Anolis sagrei: one gene and its partner. The protein of the gene in region 2 purifies or fractionates together with the protein of the main gene of each other region. This does not show direct contact. Links are inferred from orthologs where the notes say so. Each region holds a gene or a part of one and is shown on either strand. Other genes may lie near its edges.

Region 1 (3,755 bases), about 67 Mb from region 2:
CAGTCAAGGACCCAAGGCGGCTTACAGCCAGTAGAAACATATATAAATTAATGACAAATTAAAACTATAAGTATTAGCTAATACTGTGGAATACTAATGAAAACCCCAATAAAATATATTTAAAGCCACCATGATAATATGTAACAAAGTCAAAGGGCCTTCCCAACCTTAAGGTATTGCTATTTTCCTCTGAAGACTTCTTCGAAAAGGAAGTTTTTAGGCTCTTCCTAAATGCAGACGAAGAGGGTGCTTATCTATTCTCCCCTGGGAGGGCATTTCAAAGAGAGGGAGCCACTCCCGAGAAGGACCCCTCTAGTGAACTTTAAACGGAAAGTGTCACAGATGTTTGCGGATGCTTGATCTTAATGCTCTCCACGGTATGTACAAAGGAACCTAATATCTCAGGTAATCTGGAATGTGCTGCCTTTTAGTGTTTTGAGTCATTTTCTAGAGGTATGCAGGAGATGACACCAGGCAGGCCTAATGACATCAGGCAGGCCCTACCCGTCCTGGTCTGTAGAAAAAAAGCTTAAAACCTGGCTTTGTTTGCAGGTGTTTAGCGAATAGGACATTACAGAATTAGATTTTAACAGCCTGAATAACGACTGTGGATAAGTATGGGATCAAGACTCTGCACTTTACATGGTTTTAATCTGTTTTATTGTTCATGTGTTTTAATTGCTCATATGTTTTAACTGTTTTTATAATTTGATGGGGTGTGTTTTATTGTTATGTCCATGTGGCATTGAAGCCACCTTGAGTCCCCAACTGGGTGAAGAAGGTGGGGCAAAAATGAAATAAATAATAAATATATAAGATGTATGGGCCCTCCTGTTGGGAATGCTTTATTGTGTGTTCCTGCATGGCAGAATGGGGTTGGATTGGATGGGATGGTCTTTAGGGTCTCTTCTAACTTTTATGATTCTATGAAGCAGGCATGGGCAACCTTGGGCCCTCCACGTGTTTTGAACTTCAACTCCCACAATTCCTACCAGTTTTTAGGAATTGTGGGAGCTGAAATCCAAAACATCTGGAGGGCCCAAGTTTGCCTATGCCTGATTTATAAAGTGACTTCAAAGCTGCTGTCACAACAGGAGGGTGGAACAAGAGGCATACAGGAAACCTCCTTTCCTTGCAACCGTGAGTGGTGGGTACGAGAGAAAGGGCCTTCTCGGTGGTGGCTCCTTGGCTTTGGAAATCCCCCCAAAATGATATCAGATCTGTCCCCTCCCTCCTGGTTTTTTTTTTTTTTTAAACTTGGTTATAGTATGAAAGCTGGGTCCGGAAGCTCTGAGCGTTATGCTGTTTCCGCTTCGCTCCTTTGGGAGCGCTGTTTGTGCAACGCAGAATGGAACACAGATATTATAGAAGGAATGTAAAGAGTTTTTTTAATGGTAAGTCCCTAACCCTTACCCTAAGGCATACCCTTATCCTAACCCAAACCCCAAACCTTACCCTACCCCTAAACCTTATCCTAACCCTCACTTCTTTTTTATCCTTCCACCAAATGCAACTATGAAGTATATTCCCACCCTTAGTGTGCCGCTCTCCCTAACCCTTATTCACAACCACCGTTGCAGAATGTGCGTAATGCTCAGAGTTTCTGGACCCAGCTATCATACTATCACCAAAAACTTAAGACCTGGCTCTGGGGTCAAGCCTTTGAGCAATAGATATAATGATTTGAATGTGAATGACTGCTGTGACCGGGAATGGACTGATTTAGGATCACGATTTTAAACTAGCAATACTTTAGAATTCTTGAATGTTTATAATTGTTTTAATGGCGTTTGTTAATTCAATGTGCTCCATCTAATGGTTGCCTAGTGCAAGCCGCCCTGAGTCCCCCCTCAGAAAGACGGGGTATAAATGCTTCAAATAAATAAATACATTTCCCACTCACCAAGGGGGCGCATGGGTTGTAAAGGCAAGCATGAAGTGGCGCATCCAAACCACCTGGAGGGGACACTCTGCCATTTTTGGACTACTTGTGCTTCAGAATCACAAACTCGCAATAAAAAGCGGGGGGGGGGGTGCTTCTCCTTCTCGGCCCAAGCCTGGCGCGTACCTCTTACGTCAGCACGCGGGACAGTTAGTGCTGGGGCCAACGCCTCTTTGGCGCACGAGCCTCCCGGTCCCTAGGCAACTGTCCCGCAATGAAAGGCGGCAGGAAAAGGGAGGCACCCAAGGACCCCCCTCGGGGCAAGGAAAGGGAAGGAGGCCAGCAGCGCTCTCTCTCGGTGGTCCCTTTGGCTCCGCCCCCCGAGCAGCGCGTGTTCCCTCAGAACTCCATGGGCCAGGCCTCGGCTTCTGGAACCTTCCGTGTTCGCCACCCCCCCCCCCCCACCCCCGCCGAGCGCTCCTCTCTCTCACCTTCGCGCCTTCCTTCAGCATCTGAGCGAAGCCCGGGGCTTTCGGGACGTGCAGCGCCATCTTCTCTCTCTTTCTTTCTTCCTGAAGGCCACGAGCGGAGAAGTACCGAAAAGGGCTGGAGCGGCGTGCGCGAGCGGCGGCCTCCCGTCGTCCCCTTCGCGCGCAGGCGCAGAATAAGAAAAAAGGAGGCGCTACAAAGGGAGGGAGTGGAGGAGCGACCCAAAATGAGGAAGAGTTGCGCATGCGCCGCTGAGAAGATCCTGCGTTTGGCTCGACTTTGTGGCTCAATGTTATGGGATCATGGGAAGTCTAGTTTTTGGACGGTTTCTAGCCTTCCCTGCCTCACTGAACTACAAATCCCAAGATTCTAAGGTTTGATATACTCTAGCTTCGACTAATGTTTCTGAGCAAAGTAGTCTCAGGAAGTCCCATCATCCATAGTCCATCGTCCTTCAGATCCCAACAAGATGTAGACTGGGTCATGGGGGCTCTGCGTGCCAAGTTAGGTCTTGATAAGTCATTAGATGTAAAGAGTTCTTTAATGGTAAGTCCCTAACCCTTAGGCTTAGAGTAAGGGTGGCAGATGTCTCAGGAAGTGTTTGAAGGTACTGCAAGTCCCATCATCCATAGTTCTTCAGATCCCAACAGGATGTAGACTGAGTCATGGGGGCTCTGTGTGCCAAGTTAGGTCTTGATAAGTCATTGGATGAGGGTGGCAGTGGTCTCAGGAAGTGTGTGAAGGTATTGCCAGTCCCATCATCCATACTCCATCGTCCTTCAGATCCCAACAGGATGTAGACTGGGTCATGGGGGTTCTGTACGCCAAGTTAGGTCTTGATAAGTCATTGGATGAGGGTGGCAGTGGTCTCAGGAAGTGAGTGAAGGTACTGCAAGTGCCATCTGTTAGCGTTAGTAGCCCACAGAATGACTTAGCCCTTTTAACTCGTGTGATAAAACTAACTCATAAAAAAACACATGAATCTTTCGCTTTAAGTAGAAATGAAAATGAAGTTCTATTCACTGTATACAAAACAAGACAGAAGAATTGCTTTCACCAAAATATAACAAAAAACAATATCTTTGGTGAGTCCTCTTCATTCAACGGCGATATTATTATTATTATTATTATTATTATTTGCTTTATTTCTATACTGCATTTTTCAGCCCAAACAGGCGACTCAATGCGGTTTACAGGCATGTAACAGAATAATATACAGTCTTTTTTACTTTGTTGTCCGTAGAGTGACCTTGTCTTGCCGTAAACAAACGTTATCTTCAGGACGCTGCAGAACTGCTCCTGGCACCAAACAAAGGCTTTTCAGCTCAAAACGAGTCCTCAAGCAAAGCTTAGAACGCGATGCTCTAAGTTTTCAAACACTTAG
Region 2 (3,755 bases):
TGTTGTTGTTAGCCGCCCCAAGTCGGGAGATGGTGGCGTGGTTTAAATAAAGATTATTATTATTATTATTATTATTAGAAACGCTGTAAGATGAGTCCACAGCAGACAAGATCACTCTGTTGGCTGTTGTGTTGGATGACACGTTGGACACTTCCCAAGTGTCTAGGACTATTACTATTATTATTATTGTTATTATTATCATGATGATGATTATTATTATTATTAAGTGTCTAGGATTATTATTATTGTGATGATGATGATGATTATTAAGTTTCTAGGAGTATTATTATTATTGTTGTGATGATTATTCATCATCATCATCATCATCATCATCATATTTAATAACTTATTAATCGCCCTCCATCCGAGAATGCTGTAGGCAATTTACATTATTAATTGTCTAGGACTACTACTACTACTATTATTGTGATGATTATTATTAAGTGTCTAAGACTATTATTATTATTATTATTGTCTAGGACTACTATTATTGTTATTATTATTATTATTAAGTATCTAGGACTATTATTGTTATTACTATGTGTCTAAGACTATTATTAGTATTAAGTGTCTAAGATTATTATTATTGTCTAAGACTGTTATTATTATTATTATTATTATTATTAAGTATATAGGACTATTATTATTATTATTAAGTGTCTAGGAGTACTATTATTATTATTACTATTGTGATGATGATGATGATTAAGTGTCTAGGACTATTATTATTGTGATTATTATTATTAAGTGTCTAGAATTATTATTATTATTATTATTATTATTATTATTGTGATTATTACTATTATTGTTAGCCGCCCTGAGTCGGGAGATAGTGACGGAGTATAAATAAAGACTATTACTATTATTATTATTTGAAGCACTACAAGATGAGTCCACACGTCGGACATCTCCCAAGTGTCTAAGATTATAATTATAATTACTGTGATGATGATGATGATGATGATGATTATTATTAAGTGTCTAGGACTACTACTACTATTATTATTATTATTATTATTGTGATGATGATGATGATTATTATTATTATTCCGTGTCTAGGACTATTGTTATTATTATTATTGCCAACCCCTCTGGAGAGAGGGCCAGCCCCATTTGAAAGGTCCCAGAAGGAGGCCTGTCTCCATGCTGGATTGGGAGAGCACCCCCCCCCCAGGGCCCTGTTTAACCCGTCCCGGTAGAGGGCCAGTAGCTCTGCCTCTTTCCCTCCTCCTCCCTCCCTCCCTTGTGCCATGGCGGGACCCGTCCCGACCCCTCCCGACAGAGGTCCCCCCCCCCCCCCCCCCCGAGGCCCATGGAGCTGACTGTCTGACTGACCCTTGGTTGAGGTCATTCTCATGGTTATGGGAGAGAGAGAGCGCCCCCTGAAGATGATGATTATTATTGTGATTATGATTATTATTATTAAGTGTCTAGGAATGTTATTATTATTATTAAAATTATTATCATTGTGATGATGATGATTCAGTGTCTAGGATTATTATTATTACTATTGTGATGATGATGATGATTAAGTGTCTAAGACTTATTATTATTATTATTAAATGTCTAAGACTATTATTAGTATTATTAAATGTCTAAGACTATTATTATTATTATTGTCTAAGACTATTATTATTATTAAGTGTCTAAGACTTATTATTATTATTATTAAGTGTCTAAGACTATTATTATTATTATTAAGTGTCTAAGACTTATTATTATTAAATGTCTAAGACTTATTATTATTATTAAGTGTCTAAGACTTATTATTATTATTGTCTAAGACTATTATTAGTATTATTAAGTGTCTAAGACATTATTATTATTATTAAGTATCTAAGACTTATTATTATTATTAAGTGTCTAAGACTTATTATTATTATTAAGTGTCTAAGACTATTATTATTATTATTAAGTGTCTAAGACTTATTATTATTAAATGTCTAAGACTTATTATTATTATTAAGTGTCTAAGACTTACTATTATTATTGTCTAAGACTATTATTAGTATTATTGTGTCTAAGACTTATTATTATTAAGTGTGTAAGACTTATTATTATTATTATTATTATTATTAAGTGTCTAAGACTATTATTGGTATTATTAAGTGTCTAGGACTACTATTACTATTATTATTGTGATGATGACTATTATTAAGTATCTAAGACTATTGTTGTTGTTGTTGTTGTGATGATGAGGAGCCAACCCTTCCGGAGAGAGGGCCAGCAGCCCCCTTTGAAAGGTCCCAGAAGGAGGCCTGTCTCCATGCTGGATTGGGAGAGCACCCCACCCCCCACGGGCCCCGTTTAACCCCTCCCTGCAGAGGGCCAGCAGGCCTGCCTCTTTCCCTCCTCCCTCCCTGCCATGGCGGGACCCGTCCCAACCCCTCCGGAGAGAGGTCCATCCGGATGCCCATCAGACTGACCCTTGGTTGAGGTCATTCTCGGTGTTGTCCAGCCAGAGCCGCACGGCCACGGCGTTGCCCTCCCGGCACTGCGCGAAGATGTCGTCCATGGCCGGACTGCAAGGAAGGGAGGAAGGCAGGCAGGCAGGCAGGAAGGCTCCTCCTCAGCTCTCCCTCCTTCGTGGCTGTGGCTGTGCGTGGGTCTCCCACCCGGGGCGGCGCCCACTCCCTCCTGGCCGGACAAGGGACTGCAAGGGCGGAGCCCACACTAGCATCACTACCACCACAAGGCCGCACCGAGGGAGGGAGCCTCCAGGGGGCGCTCTCTCTCTCTCTGTCTCCCTCTCTATCGCCGGAACTGACTTCCTTCCTACTACCACAAGGCAGCACGGAGGGAGGGAGGGAGGGAGCCAGCCTCCAGGGGCGCTCTCTCCTTCTCCCTCTCTATCGCCGGAACTTACTTCCTTCCTACTACCACAAGGCAGCCGAGAGGGAGGGAGCCTCCAGGGGGCGCTCTCTCTCTCTCTCTGTCTCCCTCTCTATCGCCGGAACTTCCTTCCTTCCTACTACCACAAGGCAGCACGGAGGGAGGGAGGGGGCCTCCAGGGGGCGCTCTCTCCTTCTCCCTCTCTATCGCCGGAACTTCCTTCCTTTCTTACTTCCTTCCTTCCGGTCCGCAGCGTGCCACTTCCGGGCTTCCCTCCTTCCTGCCTGGCTCCACCGCCGCCGGGAGGAAGATGTTCGAGGAGGGCGAGTGGGACGAGGGCGGGACCTCGGTGGGGACGACGGCGCCCTGGGGGACAACCAAGAGGGCGGGCAAGGTGAGGAGAAGGGGTGGCTGGGGGTCCTCTTGGGCTAAGGCCTGGGCCTAAGAATCCTACCATCCTCGAGTTGGCTACCATCCAGGGCAGTCACGTTCAAAACACCCCCAACAGATGGCCATCCAGCCTCTGGTTTGGGCCTTAGAATCCTACAATCCTCCAGTTGGCTACCATCCAGGGCAGTCACGTTCAAAACACCCCCAACAGATGGCCATCCAGCCTCGGCTTCAAAGCCTCCAGAGAAGGAAGGAGCCTCCACCACACTCCAGGGCAGAGAGTTCCAACACTGAACAGCTCTCAGAGTCAGGAAGTTCTTCCTCATGTTGTAACTATTATTATTATTGTGATGATGAGCCAACCCCTCCAAACACATGGCCATCGAGCCTCTGCTTCAAAGCCTCCAAAGAAGGAAGGAGCCTCCACCACACTCCACGGCAGAGAGTTCCACTGCTGAACAGCTCTCACAGTCAGGAAGTTCTTCCTAATGTTGTTACAGGGCCTTTTCTGTGGTGGCCCCCCAACTCTGGAA

What was found.
Region 1: the proteins of ILK (region 2) and CCT8 purify together in Homo sapiens (affinity purification with mass spectrometry; 4 studies listed by BioGRID and IntAct, with this or other methods). This does not show direct contact. The link is inferred for Anolis sagrei from reciprocal best matches to the Homo sapiens genes ILK and CCT8.

The regions. Positions count from the first base shown.
Region 1 is NC_090023.1:68,094,052-68,097,806, forward strand, and holds the start of CCT8 (T-complex protein 1 subunit theta), read right to left. Parts: upstream 2,552-3,755; 5' UTR 2,434-2,551; coding exon 2,374-2,433; intron 1-2,373. UniProt on the Homo sapiens protein: Component of the chaperonin-containing T-complex (TRiC), a molecular chaperone complex that assists the folding of actin, tubulin and other proteins upon ATP hydrolysis.
Region 2 is NC_090023.1:1,050,779-1,054,533, forward strand, and holds the start of ILK (integrin-linked protein kinase), read right to left. Parts: upstream 2,516-3,755; coding exon 2,427-2,515; intron 1,357-2,426; exon of another isoform or gene 1,336-1,356; intron 1-1,335. Other genes in the region: RRP8 (ribosomal RNA-processing protein 8), read left to right, coding at 3,143-3,226. UniProt on the Homo sapiens protein: Scaffold protein which mediates protein-protein interactions during a range of cellular events including focal adhesion assembly, cell adhesion and cell migration.